Linked DNA regions of Stegostoma tigrinum. The protein of the gene in region 2 interacts with the protein of the main gene of each other region in a pairwise test. Links are inferred from orthologs where the notes say so. Each region holds a gene or a part of one and is shown on either strand. Other genes may lie near its edges.

Region 1 (10,744 bases), on a different chromosome or scaffold from region 2:
TATGTATTCAGGGAAGTTACTTAGAGTGATTTAGACAAACAATAAAGATGTATTTCAGGAATAGCGAGATAAGCACACAGGAGAGAAAGGAATAGAAAGGTATTCTGATTGTATGAGATTTAACAGAATGGGAGGAGGTTTGAGTGAAGGTAAAATACCAACAAAGTCTACTGAGCTGAACAACCTGCAATATCACCCACACCAATTTAGTGATAAAATGTAAAAAATAGAAAAATGCACTCAACCTGAAAATTATGGCAATACAATTTTACGCAAAAATGCACTAGTTGAAGTAGCAGTTGGAGACACTTAATTAAGGACATCTAGAACAGATTTACAAAAGGCAAAGGTAAGATTCTTAGCAGTGTAGATGAGCAGAGAGATCTCGGTGTTCATGTACACAGATCCTTGAAAGTTGCCACCCAGGTTGACAGGGCTGTTAAGAAGGCGTACAGTGTTTTAGCTTTTATTAATAGAGGGATCGAGTTCCAGAACCAAGAGGTTATGGAGAAGCTGTACAAAACTCTGGTGCGGCCGCACTTCGAGTATTGCGTACAGTTCTGGTCACCGCATTAGAAGAAGGATGTGGAAGCTTTGGAAAGGGTGCAGAGGAGATTTACTAGGATGTTGCCTCGTATGGAGGGAAGGTCTTACGAGGAAAGGCTCAGGGACTTGAGGCTGTTTTCATTAGAGAGAAGAAGGTTGAGAGGTGACTTAATTGAGACATATAAAATAATCAGAGGGTTGGATAGGGTGGATAAGGAGATCCTTTTTCCTAGGATGGTGACAGCGAGCACGAGGGGGAATAGCTTTAAATTGAGGGGTGAAAGATATAGGACAGATGTCAGAGGTAGTTTCTTTACTCAGAGAGTAGTAAGGGAATGGAACGCTTTGCCTGCAACGGTAGTAGATTCGCCAACTTTAGGTACATTTAAGTCGTCATTGGACAAGCATATGGACGTGCATGGAATAGTGTACGTTAGATGGGCTTCAGATTGGTATGACAGGTCGGCACAACATCGAAGGCCGAAGGGCCTGTACTGTGCTGTAATGTTCTATGTTCTATGTTTGATCAATCTAATAATTTTTTGATGCAATACCAGAGAAAAGTTTTGAAGGGAAAGTAGCAGATATTGCTCATACAGATTTAAAGTACTGAGAAAATACGATGTCAGAAACTGATTAATAAAATAAAGATTCGTGGAGCAGGCGAGTCAGTGTCAGTTTGGTTAAATATTGTTTAAGGTAGTCATGGTAAAAAATCATTTTTCAGACTGAAGGACAAATGAATGAGGTGGTAAATAATGAGGAGGATTGCCCTAGATTATAGGAGAATAAGGATAGGCTGTTAGCAGCAATTTGAACTCAATAAAAGGATGGTGATAGAGATAATAGGAACTGCAGATGCTGGAGAATCTGAGATAACAAGGAGTGGCGCTGGATGAACACAGCAGGCCAAGCAGCATCTTAGGAGCAGGAACGCTGATGTTTCAGGAGGGTCTATGCTGCGTGGCATGCTGTGCTCATTCAGCTCCACACCTTGTTATCAAAGGATGTTAATAGTTCAGATTAAGTGATCTCACATGAGAATCACTTAATGTGAACTATCAACATCCTTTCCCCACCCCACCCCCAAACTACTGCAAAAATTTTGCCCCATCGACATTTCACTTCAGGTCTGAAGAGTCACCTTGACTCAAAACATTAGCATGCTTTCTGTCCATGAATGCTGCCTGTCCCACTGTGATCGCCAGCATTTTTTTGTTATGAAGGGAAGGACCTTGTGTAGTACCAAGGATCAGTGGGAACTTGTTGTTCTTATCCACCAGGACGGTTATGTTGAAACGGCATAGACCATACTGTGCAATTTTGGAATTCCCATTTAACAAAGGCTATGTTTGGACTGGAGAGGCTGCAAAGGAGGTTTTTTACAATGTTATCTGGATTGGAAAGTTTTAGTTATGAGTAGAGATTGAATAGACTGGGTGAGTTTTCCTCAGAGTAGAGGAAACAGAAGGGGGTCATGATTGAGATGCATAAAATTATGAGAGACATAGATAAGGTAGAAAAGGAACATTTCCCCTTGGTGGAGGGATCAAAGATGGGGCCTTGGGTATAAGGTAACTCCAGAAGGAGATGGGAATCTGGAACACAGCTTGTAACTGTGTAGAAATCCTCATAACGTTTAAGAAGTACTTACATTAGTGAGGCAATGGCCTAGTAGTATTATTGCTAGACTTTTAGGATAAGGTAGGTCCTACAAAACCAAAATACAGATTTAACATCTGCTTCGAAGGGCCTGTACTGTTCTATTCTCTGGGAACCAATGATTTTCAGGAAAACAATCTAAATTTTAAGTGAGGACTTAATACCCAAATTTACTTCTGATAGAAAACTAGGTGATGATAAGTTGTCAGGATGACCAAAACAGGCTGCAAAGAGATGCCAACAGCTTGGATGGGCAACAAAAGCAGCTGGAACATTATGTGGCAAAGTTTGAGGTTATTCATTTTGGTCAGAGTAGAAAGGCAGAATATTTTTATTAAGCATCAGACTGGTAAATGTTGATATTCACCTGTACTCAGGTATCCTCATACAAGGAACACAGAGGATGCATATACATCAGGCAATTAGGAAGGCAAATGGTACACTGGCCTTTATTGCTAGGAAATTGCATATGGAAGTCTTGTTACAATTGTACTATGTAGAGCTTTGGCAAGACTGTACAAAGTATAGTACAGTTTTGATTTCCATGTCTAAGAAAGAAGTAAAGAAGATTCAAATAGGTTAATTTTTAGGATGGGAAAGCTGTATTCTGCCAAGAGGCTAAGCAACTTGGGACAATCTGCAGTTTCAGTAGAATGGAGAAGTTACCTCCTGGAAACATACAAGATTTTGCAGGGGCTTGGCAGGGTAAACTCAAGAGGTCTTTTGGGGAATTTAGAACACAGCAGCAGCAGCAGTTGAGGAGATCACACACACACAGCTATTTTCTACCCAAGGAAGTTCAGGATATGAATTGATTATATTCAAGGCTGGACTATTTAAATGTTTGATCCTCAAGAGAGAAAAGGTTAGGGCAAGGAGCATGGAATTGAGGTAGAAGATGCATTGCTGATGAAGGGTCTAGGCCTGAAACATCAGCTTTCCTGCTCCTAAGACGCTGCTTGGCCTGCAGTGTTCATCCAGCTCAACACCTTGTTATCACCAAATCACCAAGAGCAGGTTCTAATCATTAGTATCAGATTTTTAATTTCTAGAACTCTTTCCTTCCCCCCCCGCCCCCAAGGAAAACAGTGTCATTGACAAATCTTCAAAAAAAGGTGCACTGTGGTCTGTGACATCTTGGGGACCTGAACTACTGCACAACAAATTTACTCTTTCTTTTCCCAAAGAAATGTAATGACAGTGTGTTGCAAAGCATTACAACATCGTAAAGTTATCCCCGGCGATAAGGGAAATCAAAAAGAGAAATTCAGGATCAACTCCAGTACTAGAAATCAGGAACATAATCTCCCCGAATTAACTTCCTCCCAAATATTCATGTTTTTAAAGCTCCCCTCGACACCATTTCACCAAGACCAGAAACAAAACAATTTTAAAAACAAGCCTACAATGATAGTCACTTCTAGTTGGAAAACAACAAGCAGTATTTAAAAACACTGGAACTTCGATGCCCTTCTGAACTGACTTCGGGAACAACACGTACAAACATAAACTGAGTGAGTAGAGAGAAGAAAAAACTCTGTAAAAGTTTCATCTTCTTCCTGTAAACAACCACTGCATTTAATGCATCAAACGACCCGCCTCTGCCTCTACCCCCACCGCCCCCTCGACGTCTCCGAAAGGGGTTGTCACTACCTTCTGGGCGCCGACGGCTCCATCACTACGGTGACGCCTTTTAAACGTGCGACGGTTACAGTTTCAAACCGCCATGCTCGACTCGCCTGACGTCACTGCACGCGCCTCTCTCCCCCTCCCCTCCCCTCCCCTCCCCACCCCACCCCAAACCTTCCTCCTCCAAAACGGCAGCTGGTGACACCGGCGCCGTCCTCCTCCGCCCTCAGCCCGCCTCCTCGACCATCCCATTGGTCGGAACGCTATCGTGCCAGAAGTGCCGTCTGTGTGGCAGCGTCGAACTGTCAATCAGTTTGGGCAGTCACGATTCTCTGGTCACAGACTGTTCTTCCTCCTGCGCAGCCGCGACTAATCACGGTGGAGTCTAAGAGTCTTTGATGTCGTAGCTCGTAGCTGGCGGAGTCCTTGATTCCGTTTTAAACCGTTTGGTTATTTGAAGGGCACATATTAACGAGAAATCACATGGAAACAAATGCCCGTAACTTCAGTCATCGGGTGGTTTAACGAACTAGCTCTGACTGGCTTTATTCTGGGAGATGTCATCACGTTACCACTCTCCGCAGCTGGCCGTGCCCACCCAGATTGACCAACATGTCCATCTTCGGTGAGCAAAATAAAATCCTGAACAACTGCGGATGTTATAAATCAGAAACAAAAAACAGAAGTTGCTGGAAAAGCTCAGTGGGTCCAGCAGCATCTGTGAAGAGAAAGAAGAATTAACTTTTCGGATCCGGTGACCCTTCCTCAACTGATGGTAGCCAGGAAAATGTTGGTTTATATGCAGAAGATAGAGTGGGGGCAGAGCGTAAGGAGTAAACCATAGATGCGTATAGAGCCCGAAGAGAGAGGACAGTTGGACAAACAAAGGAGTGGATAACAATCTGGCTAGAAGGGTGAATAGCTTCTAACGGCTAACAATAGCTAGCGCACAATGGCAGACTATGTGGTAACAAGGCCTGCTTTGTGCGGTGAGGGGCGAGGACCTGGGGAAGTTCAGGCCCTGAAATTATTGAACTCTATATTGAGTCTGGAGGGCTTCAACATCCCCAAGTGGAAATTGAGGTGTTGTTATTCCAGCTTGCTCTGAGCTTCGCTGGAATGCTGCAGCAAGCCTGAGATGGAGATGTTAGCCAGGGAACAGTGATGTATTAAAGTGGCAGGCAACTGGAAGCTCAGGGTGACTTTTGCAGGCAGAACATAGATATTCTGTGAAGTGGCTGCCCAACCTACGCTTTGGGGAGACCACATTGTGAGCAACGAATGCAGTAGACTAGATTGAGTGAGAGAAGAGGTAAATGGGCAGACGTTACACCCATGGCGGTTGCAGGGGACGGTGCTGTTGTGAGTGAAGGAAGAGTGCACCAGGGTGTCTCGGAGAGAACAGCTCCTGCGGTAGGTGGACAAGGGAGGAGAGAGGAGGGGAATCTGTGTTTGGTGGTAGCATCTTGCTGGAGATGGCAGAAATGATGGATGATGATCTTCTGGATTTGAATGCTGATGGGATGGTAGGTAAGGACAAGGGGTACCCTATTGTTGTTCGGTGGGAGAAAAAAGCAGGTGTGAGGGAAGAAGTGCAGGAGCTGGTTCAGATCTGGTTGGGGGCCCTGTTGATAACGGTGCTGGGGAATCCTCAGTTGAGGAAGAAGGTTGACATTTCAGAGGCTCCCTGTGCAAGTTGGCCTCATCAGAACATGTGCGATGGAGATAGAGGAACAGGGAGAATAGAATGGAGTCTTTACACGAAGCAAGGTGTGAGGGTGTGTAGTCCAGGTAGCTGTGGGATTCAGTGGGTTTTCAGTGGATATTAATTGTCAAGTTATCCCCAGAAATGGAACTAAAGATATCAAGAAAGGGAGGAGTCAGAGATAGACCAGATGAAAGTGAGGGCAGGGTAAAAAATTAGAAACTTTTCCAATTCCAGATGAGAGAGGGAAGCAGCACCAACAATATCAATATATCAGAGAAAGAGTTGTGGGAGGGGTCTGGAGAGGATTGGAAGAAGGAATATCCCCCATTAAGAGACATTTATAATTGGGACCCATGACCACTTTTCTGACCTGAAGAAAATGAGAGGAATTAAAAGAGAAGTTGTTGAGAGTGAGGAGAGTCTCAACCAAGTGGAGGAGGCTGGTGGTGGGTGGAGATGCCTCAGGCCTTTGCTCCAGGAAGAAGTTGAAGACCCCTGAGAACATCCTAGTGGAGGATGGGGGTGTAAAGTTTACATGCATCTATGGTAAAAAGGAGGCGGCTGGAGTGTACAAACTGGAAATTCCAAAACTAGCATAAAGCATCAGAGGAATCATGGATATATATATGGGTAGGGACTAGACTCAGGGGAGAAAAGACTGAGTCAAGGTGGGAATAGATAGCTTTGTGGGGCAAGAGCAGGCCGAAACAATGGGTCAGCCCTGTTTGTGGATTTTTGGAAGAAGGTGGAAGCAAGCTGTGCAGCGTTGGCGGGCTATTAGCTTGGAGGCAGTGGGGAGGAGATCACCAGATGAAATGAGGTCTGTGACCATAGTTGATACAATGGCCTGATGTTCCATGTTGGGGGTCATGGTCCAGAGGAAGATAGGAGGAGGTATTTGACCCTCTGCAATGTAGAGGTCAGTGCACCAAACTACAACAGCACCCCCCTTAATAACAAAGTCAGGGTTGGATCTGAGCACAAAGAGTGCAGTCAGTTCAGAGGAGATAGGTTGGATTGGTTAAGGGAGGGGGCAGAGAAATTGACATCGACAATTCTCAGTGAACAGATCAAGTGCAGGTAAAAGGCCAGAAGGAGGGGTCCGGGTGGAGGGAGAGTGTTCGAGCTGGATGAAGGGGTCTGTGGGATGGGGAGAGGACTCTTGTCCAAAAAATGGCACAAAGGCAAAGATGGCAGAAGAAGAGTTGGATTTCATGTCATGCCTGAAGCTCATTAAGTGGGTCGCAGAGGGATAAAGCTGACACCTTTGCTGAGCACAGAATGTTTGAAGGTTGGGAGAGGTGGTGAATGCCCGACAGGTGGTCGGGTTTGAGGAAGAAATGGAGTCAGAGGGAAGGGGAGGAAAGGAAGGTTTCAGAGGGTCATGGGTATCTCTGAGCTGTTGCATCTCGTGAGCATTGATGCCTGAAAGGAAAAAAACACATTTCTTGTTCTGATGAGGCCAACTTCGACAAGGGAGCCTCCAAAATGTCCATCTTTTTCCTTTAATATATAGTATAAGGATTGCCTAGCACCATTGTCAACAGGGTCCTCAACCGGGTCCGACTCATCCCCCACACTTCTGCCCTCTCCCCCTTTCTTCCCTCCCACAACAGTGATAGGTTCCCTTTGTCCATACCTACCATCCCACCAGAATTCACATCCAGAAGATCAGCCACCATTCCTGCCACCTCCTACAAGATGCTACCACTAGATGCATATTCCCCTCCCTTGTCTGCCTACCACAGGGACTGTTCCCTCTGGGACATCCTAGTCCACTCTTCCTTCACTCTCAACACCACCCAACGGCCCCACGGCACCTTCCCTTGCAACCACCTTATGTGTAACACCTGCCCACTTACCTCCTCACTTCTCAGTATCTAAGGTCCCAAACACAACTTCCAGATTGTGCAGCAACTCACCTGCACTTCACACAATCTAGTCTGCTGCATTAGTTGCTTACAGTGTGGTCTCCTCCAAAGACTGGGTGACCACCTCATGGAGCATCTGTGTTCTGCCAGCAAACATGATCCTGATCTTCCAGTTTCCTGCCACTTTAACACACCACCTTGTTCCCTGGCTAACATCATTTAAAGGAAGGCTCACCGGACCCAACACATTAACTCTGATTTTTTCTCCACAGATGCTGCCAGACCTGCTGAGCTATTCCAGCAACTTCTGTTTTTGTTCTGATTTACAGCATCCGCAGTTCTTTCGGTTTTTATTTCTGTCGCAGGGCTGCTGTAGAGTTCCAGCAAAGCTCAGTGCAAACTAGAAGAAGTATACCTCATTTTCCACTTCGGGACCCTGAAGCCCTCCAGACCAAATATCAACTTCAATAATTTTAGGGCCTGAACTGTCTCATGTCCTAGCCCTCTACCCCAGACACCAGGCCTTGTATTACATAATCACACTATCACACACTATTGTTAGCCATTAACAGTTTCCATTAACAGCTATTCGCCCTCCTAGCCAGATTGTATCTCCTCCGTTATCCAACTGCTCTTCTCTCTCTTTGGGCTCTATCCAAACCTTTCGTTTACTCCTTCCCCTTCCCCCCAACCTATCTTCTGCATATAAACCAATATTTTGCTACCTACCATCAGTTCTGAGCAAGGATCACTGAACCAGAAATATTAAATCTGATTTCTCTTCACAGATGCTGCCAAACCTGCTGAGCTTTTCTAGCAACTTCTGTTTTTGCATGATCAGGGAGTCTGGCTTTCCCAATCGAAAAGAGGGTATGATTCTGAAATCAAGTTGTTCAGAGATGTTATAACAAAAATCTGGCGTAGGTGGAACTTTAACCCAGGCTTCCTGGCTCAGAGGCAGCAATATCAACACTGCACAACGAGAGTCCCTCACACTTCTATTTATTAATTCAGTATTGGAAATGGGGTGACCAGTTGTTTGAATGAATTGATTAATGCAAAGGTTGTTGTGCTGTAGTGTTGAAGGGTCTCTCTGATGAAAGGTCTAGGCCCGAAACGTCAACTTTTGTGCTCCTGAGATGCTGCTTGGCTTGCTGTGTTCATCCAGCTTCATACTTTGTTATCTTGGATTCTCCAGCATCTGCAGTTCCCATTATCTCTGTGCTGTAGTGGTAATGTCCCTGCCTCAGAGATAGAATACTTGGTTCAAGCCCCACCTGCTCCGGAGGTGTGTTATAACACATCTGAACAAGTTGATTACAAGTATCAAAATAAGAGTATTAAAATAATTTATTTCAACAAGATTTTTTTATGTTCCCTTCAATGACAGCAATGCCCACATCCTATGAATGAATTTTTTAAAAAATCAAATGATATACTGTAGGGGTCAAGATCCCACTGCTGGATCATGTGTCATTGCCGTGAAAAGGCTGCCAAGATCATCAAAGGCCCATTCCATCTTGGTAATGCTCTCTTACAAACTCTTCTATCAGGTAGAAGATACAGGAACATGAACAACTGCACCAGCAGGTTCAAGAATAGCTTCTTCCCAACTGTTATTAGACTGATGAATGGATTCTAATTTTGAATAATGCTGTTCTTGTTAATGTTTATCATGCCTCGTGCACTTCCTGTGCAGTGTAACATGTATTCCCGACTCTGTCCAGGTTTTGTTTTTCACTCACTGATCTGTATATTCGTGCTTGCTCCGATCTGCCTGTACTGCTCACAGTCAAAGCTTTTCACTGTACTTAGGTACACATGACAATAAATCAAATCAAATCAATGAAGGAAGAGATGATATAAACACTCAGTTTACTGATGACACAAAAATAGGTAGGTTGTAAAATAAGTAAGTTGTGAAGAGGATTTAAGTGGCTACAAAAAGATACTGATAAGTAGGTTAGCAAAGATCTGACAAATGTAATACATTGTGCAGAAATGTAAAATTGTTCGTATTGCTGGAAGAATGACAAAGAGACAAGTTATTTAAATAGTGAAAGATTGCAGGGTTTACAGGTTCACAATAATCGGGATTCCTAGTGCATGAATCATAAAAGGTTAGTGAGCAGGTACACAAGTAATTAGGAAAGCTAATGGGGTGTTGTAATTTATTCTGAGGGGAATGGAATACAAAAGTAGGAAGATTATGCTTCAATTATACAAGACACATGTAAGACCCGTATCTAAAGTACCATATACAGTATCGGACATCCTACTGAAGTAAGGATGTAAATATATTAGAATACGTTCAGAGGCTCACTGTAGTAAATGTCTAGAATGGGTGGATTATGAGGAAGGTTGTGATCAGAGATAATAGGAACTGCAGATGCTGGAGAATCCAAGATAACAAAGTGTGGAGCTGGCTTGGCGTGCTGTGTTCCACCAGCTCCACACTTTGTTATGACGAAGATTGGACAGGTTAGGCTTCTAGTCACTGGAGTTCAGAATACTAACAGGAAATTTGATTAAAACCTGTAAAATCCTTGGCTTGGGGGGGGAAGAAGTTCCTCATGGGAGAATCTAGAATTAAGGGTCAACAATCTTTGGAACTTGCTTCCTTAAAACGCATGGAGGCAGATTCTTTTAATATTTTTAAGATAGAGGTGGATAGATTGATGATAAGCAAGAAGGTAAAAGGTTAAGAATGGGATAGGTGGCAATGTGAATTTGAGCTTCATCTAGATCAGCCATGATCTTATTAAATGGGGGAACAGGATAGTGAGGCTGAAAGTCCTACTCATGCTCTTTGTTTTTTTGTTCACAGACCATATCTAGTACTTACCACTAATTATAATACAGAACATAAAATTACACAAGTTAGAGGCAAAATTAGATTATTTAGCCTTCGACCTTGCCCTGCCATTCAATGATGACCCATTATTTCAATTCCCCATCCCCACATTATCCCCATATTGCTTCATTCTTTTAGTATCCATAAATCTATTGATTTTTGTCTTAAATATATTCAATAATTGAACATGCAAACTCCTGTCTGCGAGAGATTATGAAGATCCATAGCATTTGCATCAAGAAATTTTTCTTCATCTCAATTTTGGATTTGTCAAAAGATAGAAAAGAGAAATTGAAGAACAACATTTAGTTGATATTCAGGTTTACTTCACATTTAGCGTGGTGGTGCATTTTCTGTATATGGTGCTTTCAATTTGCATGTCGATTCAGAGCTATTCATTTTCTTTTGCCACCCCATCTTTATTAGATTTTTAACAGGGGCTTATCAGACTATCAGCATAGGGTCATCAAGAAT
Region 2 (10,164 bases):
AACACTCTGAATGAAGAAATTTCTCTTCACCACAATTCGTAATGCGAGCCTTAGACAGTATGACTCCGAATCTTCAGACTCACCAGCCTTGCGAAACAAGCAATCAAGAGTCATCTAATCGCCTGTTTTCTTTTCCACCTAGGAAGGTAGGAACTGTGTTTGAGAACACGCAACGTGACGGATCATGGGAGTAAGAAGGTTGCAACACTTGGAGGAAGGAGCGGATGTGATGGATCACCTTCACAGTTGGCTAAGCAGTAGAGATTTATTTGAACACAATGCCAGATTTAGCTATTGAAAGATTATACAATTGTTTACAAATGAAATTAGATGAGCAATTGATAAGGAAAAGATTGACAGACAAGGGATCGGAGTAGATGGTTGAGGCTGATAAGAGGGCATTGACAGAAGTGCAAAGGAGAAAATATGACCTTCTGCTTATGCTGTTATTTCCATGAAATTTGTTCTTGCTGAAGTTGGAGAGATGACAAAAGCCATTATCACTTACAATGTGCCAGGTCAGTCTTCAGGTGATTTAGTGTATTAGAGGATCTGGATCACAGATCCGAAATGAGGCTTAGAGTTTACCAGACAGCAGTGATCCCAGTGTTCCTAAATGCTTCAGAGACTGAGATAATCCAAAGCAAGCACCTCAAAGTACTTGAATACCACCAGCAGTTCACAAGATCCTTGGAGTACAGTAGCAGTTCAACAGCAGCAACGCCTCCCAAACCAACATGTCCAGCACAGAAGTGTTAATCACTTAGAGCCAGTTCTGTTAGGCAGGACACCTCTCGAAGGAGCTGTTCAACTACGAACACATTTGAGACTAGAGCTCCAAGGAAAACAGTGGGACTGCTTTAGGAATGTCCTCAAATTATTGCTGAAGGGCAGAAACATTCCTGCTGATTCACGGGAGACCATCAGAACCAAATGCGGAAGGTTAATTTGGGAAGACCATGAAAGACTTTATCAGTAACATGAAGAAGTGAAGTCTTAGTGCAGAAGGGAGTTTGCAAACCCCATACATTTATTTCACCCTCCAAAGACCATCTGTCCCACACGTGGGTGAGACTGCAGCTTGTCATAGAAATCATAGAAACCCTACAGTGCGAAAACAGGCCATTCAGCCCAACAAGCCCACACCGCCCTTCCAAAGAGCATCCCACCCTGACCCATTCCCCTACTCCTACATTTCCCTTGTCTAATCCACCTAACCTAAATACCCCTGGGTACTACAGGCAATTTAGAATAGCCAAACCACCTACTCTGCACATCTTAGGATTGTGGGAGAAAACCGGAGCACCCAGAGGAAACCCACGCAGACACAGGGAGAACGTGCAAACTCCACACAGATAGTTGTCCGAGGTTGGAATCAATCCCGGGTCCCTGGCGCTGTGAGGCAGCAGTGCTAACCACTGAGTCACCGTCCCGCCCTAAACTAGATGCTACAACTTACAGAACAAGCACCACTTTGTTAATGTAAATAGCAGAGGATGGTTTTGTTCCATCAACCTCTGGGTTATGGACCCAGCACACTCCTGCTGGGCTACTCTACTGTGATGTGTACTGGACTTCTCAGCTATCTTCTAAACCGTCAAAGCAGAGTGGAAGTGAAATCATGCTTATCCTGAGGGACTGCCTCAGGTGAAGAAGAACGTCTAGGATTCCACATGGTGTGGAAGAGTTCAGCAGTGCAGGAGCTGTCTAACATCAGTAGAGATATAGTCAATGATACAGGAACACTGCTGGTGCAAACTACATAGCCTGCAGACTCAGCGAGGCAGGGAGAATTGACCCAGCACAAGTTTGTACATGAATTGGTCAAAAATCAACCATGAAAGGTGACAATTCTCACTGGGATGAACTTTCTATGTGCTGAAAGTTCCCAGTGTGGTCTCACACCAGTAGGTTAAACCTAAGAATTATATCAGGCCATTCAATCCCTTCAGTGTTCTATATCAATTATATCATGGTTAATCTGTACCTCAAATCCACTTCTTGGTCATAAAAGTATCTCCTACTTGTCAGGAGGAGACGTCAGTTTTTCACACCATTGATGTCCTCTGGCACGCTATCAGCTGCTGACTGGGAGCTGGTTAATATTCCCAACCATGCAGGTAGATGTAGCTGCTTTGCACTCAGTTACAGAAAGAAACTGAACATTCACATTTCAGAAGATTTTAATTACTTACAACTCTATCTAACTAAAAAGGATATATCTAATATTAAGCCAAGAAACATAGTCATACGCCAAAATCTGCTGAAAACATTACAACAGAGATGACAGTACAAAAATACATCACTGGCTGCAGTCTTTTGGGATATCCGGAGTTTGCGAAAGACACCATATAACTACATATCCTTTCTTCCTTTGACAAGTACTTTCCAGTGGACAGTCCTGGCCACCAGCTTCAACACTGTCAGAGGTTGTCTACAATTTTCTGACCATTTGCTTTAAAACCCCCGGTGAGCATAGCTTGCAGGCAAAGATGGTCACTGCTTACTGCCCACTGGTAAAAAAAATTCTGAATCACAGCATGCTCTTGAACCAAAGCTGAACACAAATATAAAACACAGCAAGCCAGGCTTGGGGAGATTTCACATTCTGATAATCGGCCAGCTTCATTGCCAACAGGGCCCGCAGTGAAGATGTGTCACTGTGTGACAATGGGCATCACTCTGGGATGACACAAAGCGACGCTTGCAATGCAGGGAGGTTTTTCTATTGTGTTCTTGCATAATTACATCAAGAGTTTAGCAACAACTTAAATAAGTTCCAAAGTACTTAGTTATGATGACAATGGCCTCTTTCATGTCGTTTTCATCAATTTCGGCACCTTTTCCACCTATTCAGTGTTGACAGTCTAACTGGAAGGTTTACAATGCATTTGTAGTGCATTTCAAACACACTCTTTTCTGGCTTGATCTTGTAAAGCTAGTTCCTTTCGTTAATCTGAATACTTGGAAGATTGAGGAAGCCTTGAAGGGAATCTATTACCATATATAGCCTGATACCAAACACAGAATCCTGTACAGTATACAATAGCACATCGTGTGATAGCGTGTATTTATATTCTGTAAATATGACAGCATACAGCAAAGAGGTTAGTAGTATGGAGAAAATACTGAGTTTGATAGTATAATGTATACATTGAGTTAAATAGAATATGTTTAGTATGATGGACAATACACTAAATCATGACATAAAAGTAAGAAAATGCATACAACCCATTTAACATGCACTGGAAATCTTTTCCGCAGTTTTAAAATTGATTTCCAAGCTGTATTCCCCTAAGTGATAGTCACACCCCAGCGTTATAAGTCGCCTTCTTAGTAATGATAAAAACCGCGGAAGGGTCCCTTGACTTGAAACGTCAAGTCTGATTTCTCTCCACAGATGCTGCCAGACCTGCTCAGCTTTTCCAGCAACTTCTGTTTTTGTCCCTTACCAGTGTCACTGTGACACATACGTTTTCTGTTTCTTACTTATTTCAGATCAATTCGTGTTTTTTTTAAATGCATGTTTGTAAAACAAGATAATTGCGTGTGTGAGAAACTTACTTGCGCACTGCAGACTTTGTTTGTACAGACCCCAGATGAAGTCGCCGCACAGGTCACACCAGCTGGGCTGTGTCTGGGTGCAAGGGTTGAAATCGTGTCCTTCCCCCAGTCTCTCGGTCAGTCTCGGCTCCTGGTCCACCACCAGCAGCCGCTGCCGGCTCTTGCGCTCTTGTCTGGCCGCCTTACCCATGTCCTGGACGCTGGAAGCCCGGCTCCTGGGGCTGATCCTCATGGCGTTGGTCCTCTCCAAACCGGACGAGCGGTACACCGAGCGGGTGCTGCCGGGACTCAGCGTGTCCTCTCTCAGGTCCCGCAGCTCGATCAGCTCCGCCATGGGGAGGCGAAGAGAAAAGTTTATACTGCACGGGGAAACTCAGTCTCAAACTCAGCGACAGGCATTAGAATTAAATGATCCAAAACGCCTTCGATAAGAAAACATTTCAGTCAACATGTTTATATTCGTTCGGGTCTCCCGAGCAAAAGAACCGCAACTGAAGCCAGGAGGGGCTGAGACAAGTTGATTAGTCCTGGTCCGGGTTAAAATTCCACCCCAGGATCGGCTCCTCCCCTGCGGCTAATAAATGTCTAACTCAACCCCTAACTCCGAGCACAGCTTCAGCTCAGTGTCAGGATCCGCCCATCAGCCAACGAAATACAGCAACCCGTTAGTTTTAAACGTGAAGCGAGCTGTGTGTTTGTGTGCGTGTGGAGTGGGGGAGGAGATTGATTGTAACCCTCTAAAGTTAAACTGTGACTGAATCGAGTGGATGAAGAACGTAGTGGGAGGGGCTGCTGTTTATGTTTTTTTGTGAGAATATTCAGATCACAGCTGTTCGCTGGAAAAGGATTTTTTTTTCTCTTTCCCCGTGGCTGGCCGCTGGGGTTTGATGGAACACTCTGTGCGTGTTCAGAACCATCCTCAGTTTTAGGGGCAGTGGGCGAGCAACAGTTAAGTGGGTGTGCTGGCTAGCGTTATCAGATTAAACGTAAACTCACTCTCCTTTTATAAGTGTTATCCTTCCTCTGTCCCCGAGCTGGACCACGCAGGTTCAACCTCTAGAATGTGTAATAACGTTTCGGAGCAGTTGCTTACCTATATTGAAGTGCATCACTCATAACCAAAGTGTGGAGCTGGATGAACACAGCAGGCCAAGCAGCATCTCAGGAGCACAGAAGCTGACGTTTTGGGTCTAGACCCTTCATCAGAAAAAAAGTGCATCACTGGCGGGTTTTAAGAAACCAGAGATGAAAAGACTGGTGTTGGGATCACTATGTTTTATTGTGATTTAGTCCACGGCAGGACTTCCCAAACAAGGAGTTGCCACTCCCACTGGGTTCAGGAGTCAAGATTTTGGGCTCCTAAACTCACAGGCAGCAATTTGGAATCTAGGCTATATAAAGTGATGAGAATGGGGATAGTGGGTATACACAGTTTCCTGTAGTGAGGAAAAATACTTTTACCTTTGGACGTTATTGCAAGTCATCACCACATTATCGGTGGAGCTAAGTTGCCCAGGATTCAACGACTTTTTAAGATAGGGATAACGGTGATCTGCCTCATTTTCATCACCTGTACATTTATAAGGCTTGATTTTGGGGACTGGATTTTGCAATTCTCACCAATTCACTAGACCCCCCTCTCAATATGGCCTATCTGCATGATCTCCAGGCCCACTCACCTTGTCCCAAGTGTGGTGTCCATCACTATTTCATCTCATTGAGTGCCGTCTCAGAGTGACCATCACTCCCAACGGTACGCTTAGGACTGAAAAGCAATCAGCCCATCACTGTCTGGCGTCTCCTGGGGGTGATATCTCACCGTTTAAAGACATGGGAACCGTAAAAGCTGAAAATTAATTGCTGGATCGATATAGAATCATAGTCACACAGCACAGAAACAGACTTTTCACCCCAACTCATTCACGCCAACCAGACGCCCAATCTGATCTAGTCCCATTTGCCAGCATATATGCCAGCCCATACTCCCTGTAAACTCCTCATATTCATATACCAACCTGGATGCCTCTTAAATGTGAGATAAAAAGGCGTACAGCTGCATGAACCAGGCCAAGCAGCATCAGAGGAGCTGATGTTTCAGGCCTAGACCCTTCTACAGAAAAAACGGTCATATCCTCGTAAACCTTTCTGCACACTTTCAAATTTAACAACATTCTTCTTATAGGAGAGCAACCAAAATTGTACACAGTATTCTAAAAGTGGCTTCACAAATGTTCTGTTTAACTGCAACATGAAATCCCAACTCCAACATCAACGTTCTGGCCAATGAAGGCAAGCATGCCACATGGCTTCTTCACTACCCTGTCTACCTGCGACTCCATATATGACAGCTAAGGATTCCAAAAATGGCTGAGGTAGGGATACTTGCATCTTTCTAGCTTGTTGTCAGGATTCACTTTAGTGTTCAATTGTCCTGCGTTTCTTTATGTTAATCGGTTTACAATAGCTGATCTTTGTACTCAATCGGTAAGCTTGGATGTAGACTCTGAGAAAAGCTGTGGAAAGAGTTGGGAGCCAGAGCTGAAGCACAGAGCAGCCATTTTGAAACACTGTCAATAAAACCTATTAAATATTGAAGCTGGTGTGTCGTCTTGGTGTAGACCAGAGAGATATAAAATACACAACGAAGTGGAGTGAGAATGATGCAGGAAAGTTTACAGTTACTCACTCTTGCACTTTGTCTTTGCTGATAGGCCACGGGCTGAATGGATTTCAGGGTGCACCACCTATTTGCATGCTATAGAGTTGCACAGGGCAGATGGAACTCCAAAAAAATGATACTTTTATGTTGCCTCAGAACAGAAGGTCATTGAATATTCCAGCAGCTCAAAAAAGACATGAGTGCATTTGTTACATCAGCAAGTGGGTCTTGAAAAATACTTTAGCCAAAGAAAAATGTTATATTTGAATGCTATACATTTCATTTTCCACTATTATATCATAGCAATGTAATAGCAAGCCCATCAAACAAGATAGTAAATAGATGCACCAGTTGGCTTCTATATTAAATTTGATCCATTAATCAATTAACTAGTCCACACCCAACTTCAACTCTACAAACTAGTTATGTATCCCCTCATGAATGACGATCTAATTTATGAAGTAGCCACAAACTTGCCAATGTAAATCAATCCACCACATGACATTAAAATGATAGAATCCCAACAGTGTGGAAGGAGGCCACTCAGCCCATCAAACCTGCACTGATCCTCTGAAGAACATCCCACCCAGACTCAGTCCCCCACCCTATCCCTGTAACTGCCTAATTTCCATGGCTAACCCACGTAAACCTGCACATCCCTGGACACTGTGGGCAATTTAGCATGGCCAGACTACCTACAATGCACAGCTTTGGACTGTGGGAGGAAACTAGAGCAACTGGCAGAAACCCATGCAGAATTGGGAAGAACATACAAATTCCACTCAGACAGTCACCTAAAGCTGGAATTGAACCCAAGTCCCTGGGTGTTGTGAGGCAGCAGTGTTAGGTTTGAAGAGGCTACATACAAGTGCCCCCTCCGCTTTCCCAACCAACTCAATTGCAAGGGTTAAGCATGAGGAGACTTCATAATCTGATTATGACATGCCCATTATGGTTAGCTACTTACAAGATAGCTGACAAAGGCACATCCCTCCCTGATACACTCAAAGCTTTCTATGCTGTGTTCAAGCAGAATACCAGCAGCATGGTGTCACCAGCCCCGGACACACCTGTTCGCTCTGTCAGCACTGCAGACCTCAGATCAGTCTTCCCAATAGTCAACTCAAGGAAAGCGATAGGCCCTGATGGAGTCCCTGGCCGTGCATTTAGGTCATGTCCGGACCAGCTGGTGGATGATTTCACCTCCAGTTTCAGCCTCTCCCTCCTTCAAGCCAAAGCTCCTACTTTCAAGAAGACCACCATCAGCCCTGTACCTAAGAAAGCACATGCAACGTGCCTTAAAGACTACCGCCCAGTGGGGTTCTGACCTCAATAATCATGAAGTGCTTCGACAAGCTGGTCAAAGCCCACATTAACTTGAGTCTCCCAGCTCACCTCGATTCCCTGCAATTTGCCTATTGACATAACAGGTCCAGAGCAGGTGCCATTTCCCTAGCCCTGCACTCATCCCTGGAACATGTAGACAACAAGGACAGCTATGTCAGACCCCTACAGCTCTGCCTTCAACACCATTATCCCCTCAAGACTCCCCTCAAGCTCTGCGCTCTGCAATTGGATCCTCAGCTTTCTGACCCACAGACCGCAATCAGTGAATATAGACAACTGCACTTCCTCCACAATAACACTTAACACTGGAGCAACACCCCCCCCCCCAACGCCCCTGAGGATGCATCCTCAGCCCCCTACTGTATTCCCTATACACCCATGACTTTTTGCCAAATTCCGAATGAACACCATCTACAAGTTTGCTAATGATACCATTGTGTTAAGATAGATATCAAACGATGATAAGTCAGAATACAGAAAAGAGATAGAGGGTTTGGTGACATGGTGCAATGGTTACAACATCTCTCTCTCTCTCTCTCTCTCTCTCTCTCAGTGTCCGCAAAACTAAATAATTGATCATCGACTTCAGAAAGAAAGGAGGGTAGCATGCCCCCATTTACGTCAATGGTGTGGAGATTGAGAGGGTCCAGAACGTCAGGTTCCTCGGAGTGACAATAACCAACAATCTGTCCTGCACTTCCCATGTGATGCAATGGTCAAGAAGGCACAACAACGCCTCTTCTTCCTCAGGCAGCTGAGAAAATTTGGCTTGTCCATGAGGACCCTCACTAACCTCTATATCTGCGCCATTGAAAGTGTACTGTCCGGGTGCATAACGGCCTGGTGTGGCAACTGCTCTGCCTAGAACCGTAAGAAACTACAGAAAGTGGTGTGCGCAGCCCAGACCATCACAGAAGTCAACCTTCCAACCATGGACTCTATTTACATGTTTTGTAGGTGCAGAAAGGCTGCCAACATCATCAAAGACCCTTCCCATCCAGGTAATGCTCTCCTACATCCTCTTCCATCAGGTAGAAAATATGAATTCTTGAACACATGCACCAGCAGATTCAAGAATAGCTTCTTCCTTGCTGTTATTTGACTGATGAATGGCATCTCTAACTTCAATTTTTTCCTATCTTGGTACTGGTGATCTTGCCTCGCACACATTCTGTGCAATGTAACCTATGTGCCTTACTGTGTCCAAGAAGTTTTTCACCTGATGATCTGTATTTCCTAGTTTACTATGATCTGCCTATGCTGCTCGCAAACAAAGCTTTTCACTGTACTTAGGTACACGTGACAATAAATCAAATCAATCAATCAAAACTATGCCCAAACTGTGGAAATGCTCATTGGGATGAAAGCATCTACTCTGAACGACAGACTCAGAATCAATGTTTTACGCAACTTTCTCCCCTTCCTGCAACAGACAGTTTTCAAGTTCACGATTGCCCCTTTTGGAGATTGCTGTTCCCATGTGTTACAAAAATGTCACCCACTAGATGGCTTTGTGTTCAATGAAGCTAATGGCAGCAGGTTTATTGCAGAGTGGTAGGAGAGGGGGAAACCTTTCAGTAGGCCTAGCTTCAAAGTTGAAGACTTCACTGGTGTACATATTGACATGATCACTATCCTTCCTTATTCATTGTATTTGGGGAGATGAAGGAGGTCTTGTTACACTCTTCATATTGACATCTTCACATCACTTCTACCAATTACACAAAATTTGAGGAGTTGCCATTTATAATGTATGCTTAATTGTCACAGGAAGTACAGTGATTAGAAATGGATGGTATTGTTGACTGAATCAGCTTAACAGTAGTGGACATTCACTCTAGACAAGTATCCACATGATACAATTGACAGCTACTTAGAAATAGGAAGGGTAATAGACCATTTGGCCCCTTGAGCCTGCTCTGCCATTCAATTGGATCATGGCTGATCCAACGTTCCTCACATCCACTTGCTGTTGATGGTCATGGAAGGGAAAGAACAGGACACAATAAGTGGATATCAGCAGTCCTCACTTGAATCGCACATCACAATTTGGTCATCAAGGACAAATGTACATTCACAGCGTTAAGGATTAACTTTCTTGGCAATTGGGTGACAACAACTGGATATAGACTGCACAGGAAAATGTCAAAGCCATTTGTGTGAACCCGACATAAAAGAGTAGGCATTGTGTCTTGGGATTAAAAACATTTATCACAAATTTCTACCACGTATGTCAAGATCACAAAGCCACTTCCTAAATTACTGTGCAAAAATGCCCAGTGGGAAGAAACAGCCACACTGCATTTGACGTGATAAATGTGAAGACAGCATCTCTGTCAAAGCTGCAAGTAAAAATATATGTCACAATATTTGCATCAAGAAATGCAATTGGAGTTTATTCTCACATTACATCGAAGAAAGTGAATGACCAGTTGCTTCTGCCATCAGAAACCCATCATAAATACTGGACAGCAGAAATCACCAGCCTGCATGCATGCGTGCATCACAGCATTGGCACATGTATCTGATTGATTGATTGATTTATTGTTGTCACATGCGAAAAGCATGCTATACAGACAGATTGTACTAGACAC

Evidence for each region. The genes of interacting proteins can lie anywhere in the genome.
Region 1: the proteins of rassf1 (region 2) and stk3 interact in binary tests that used the Homo sapiens proteins (3 or more experiments, as listed by UniProt). The link is inferred for Stegostoma tigrinum from reciprocal best matches to the Homo sapiens genes RASSF1 and STK3.

What each region holds. Positions count from the first base shown.
Region 1 is NC_081358.1:121,913,118-121,923,861, reverse strand, and holds the start of stk3 (serine/threonine-protein kinase 3), read right to left. Parts: upstream 3,976-10,744; 5' UTR 3,885-3,975; coding exon 3,862-3,884; intron 1-3,861. UniProt on the Homo sapiens protein: Stress-activated, pro-apoptotic kinase which, following caspase-cleavage, enters the nucleus and induces chromatin condensation followed by internucleosomal DNA fragmentation.
Region 2 is NC_081364.1:59,253,771-59,263,934, reverse strand, and holds the start of rassf1 (ras association domain-containing protein 1), read right to left. Parts: upstream 4,233-10,164; 5' UTR 3,899-4,232; coding exon 3,565-3,898; intron 1-3,564. UniProt on the Homo sapiens protein: Potential tumor suppressor. Required for death receptor-dependent apoptosis. Mediates activation of STK3/MST2 and STK4/MST1 during Fas-induced apoptosis by preventing their dephosphorylation.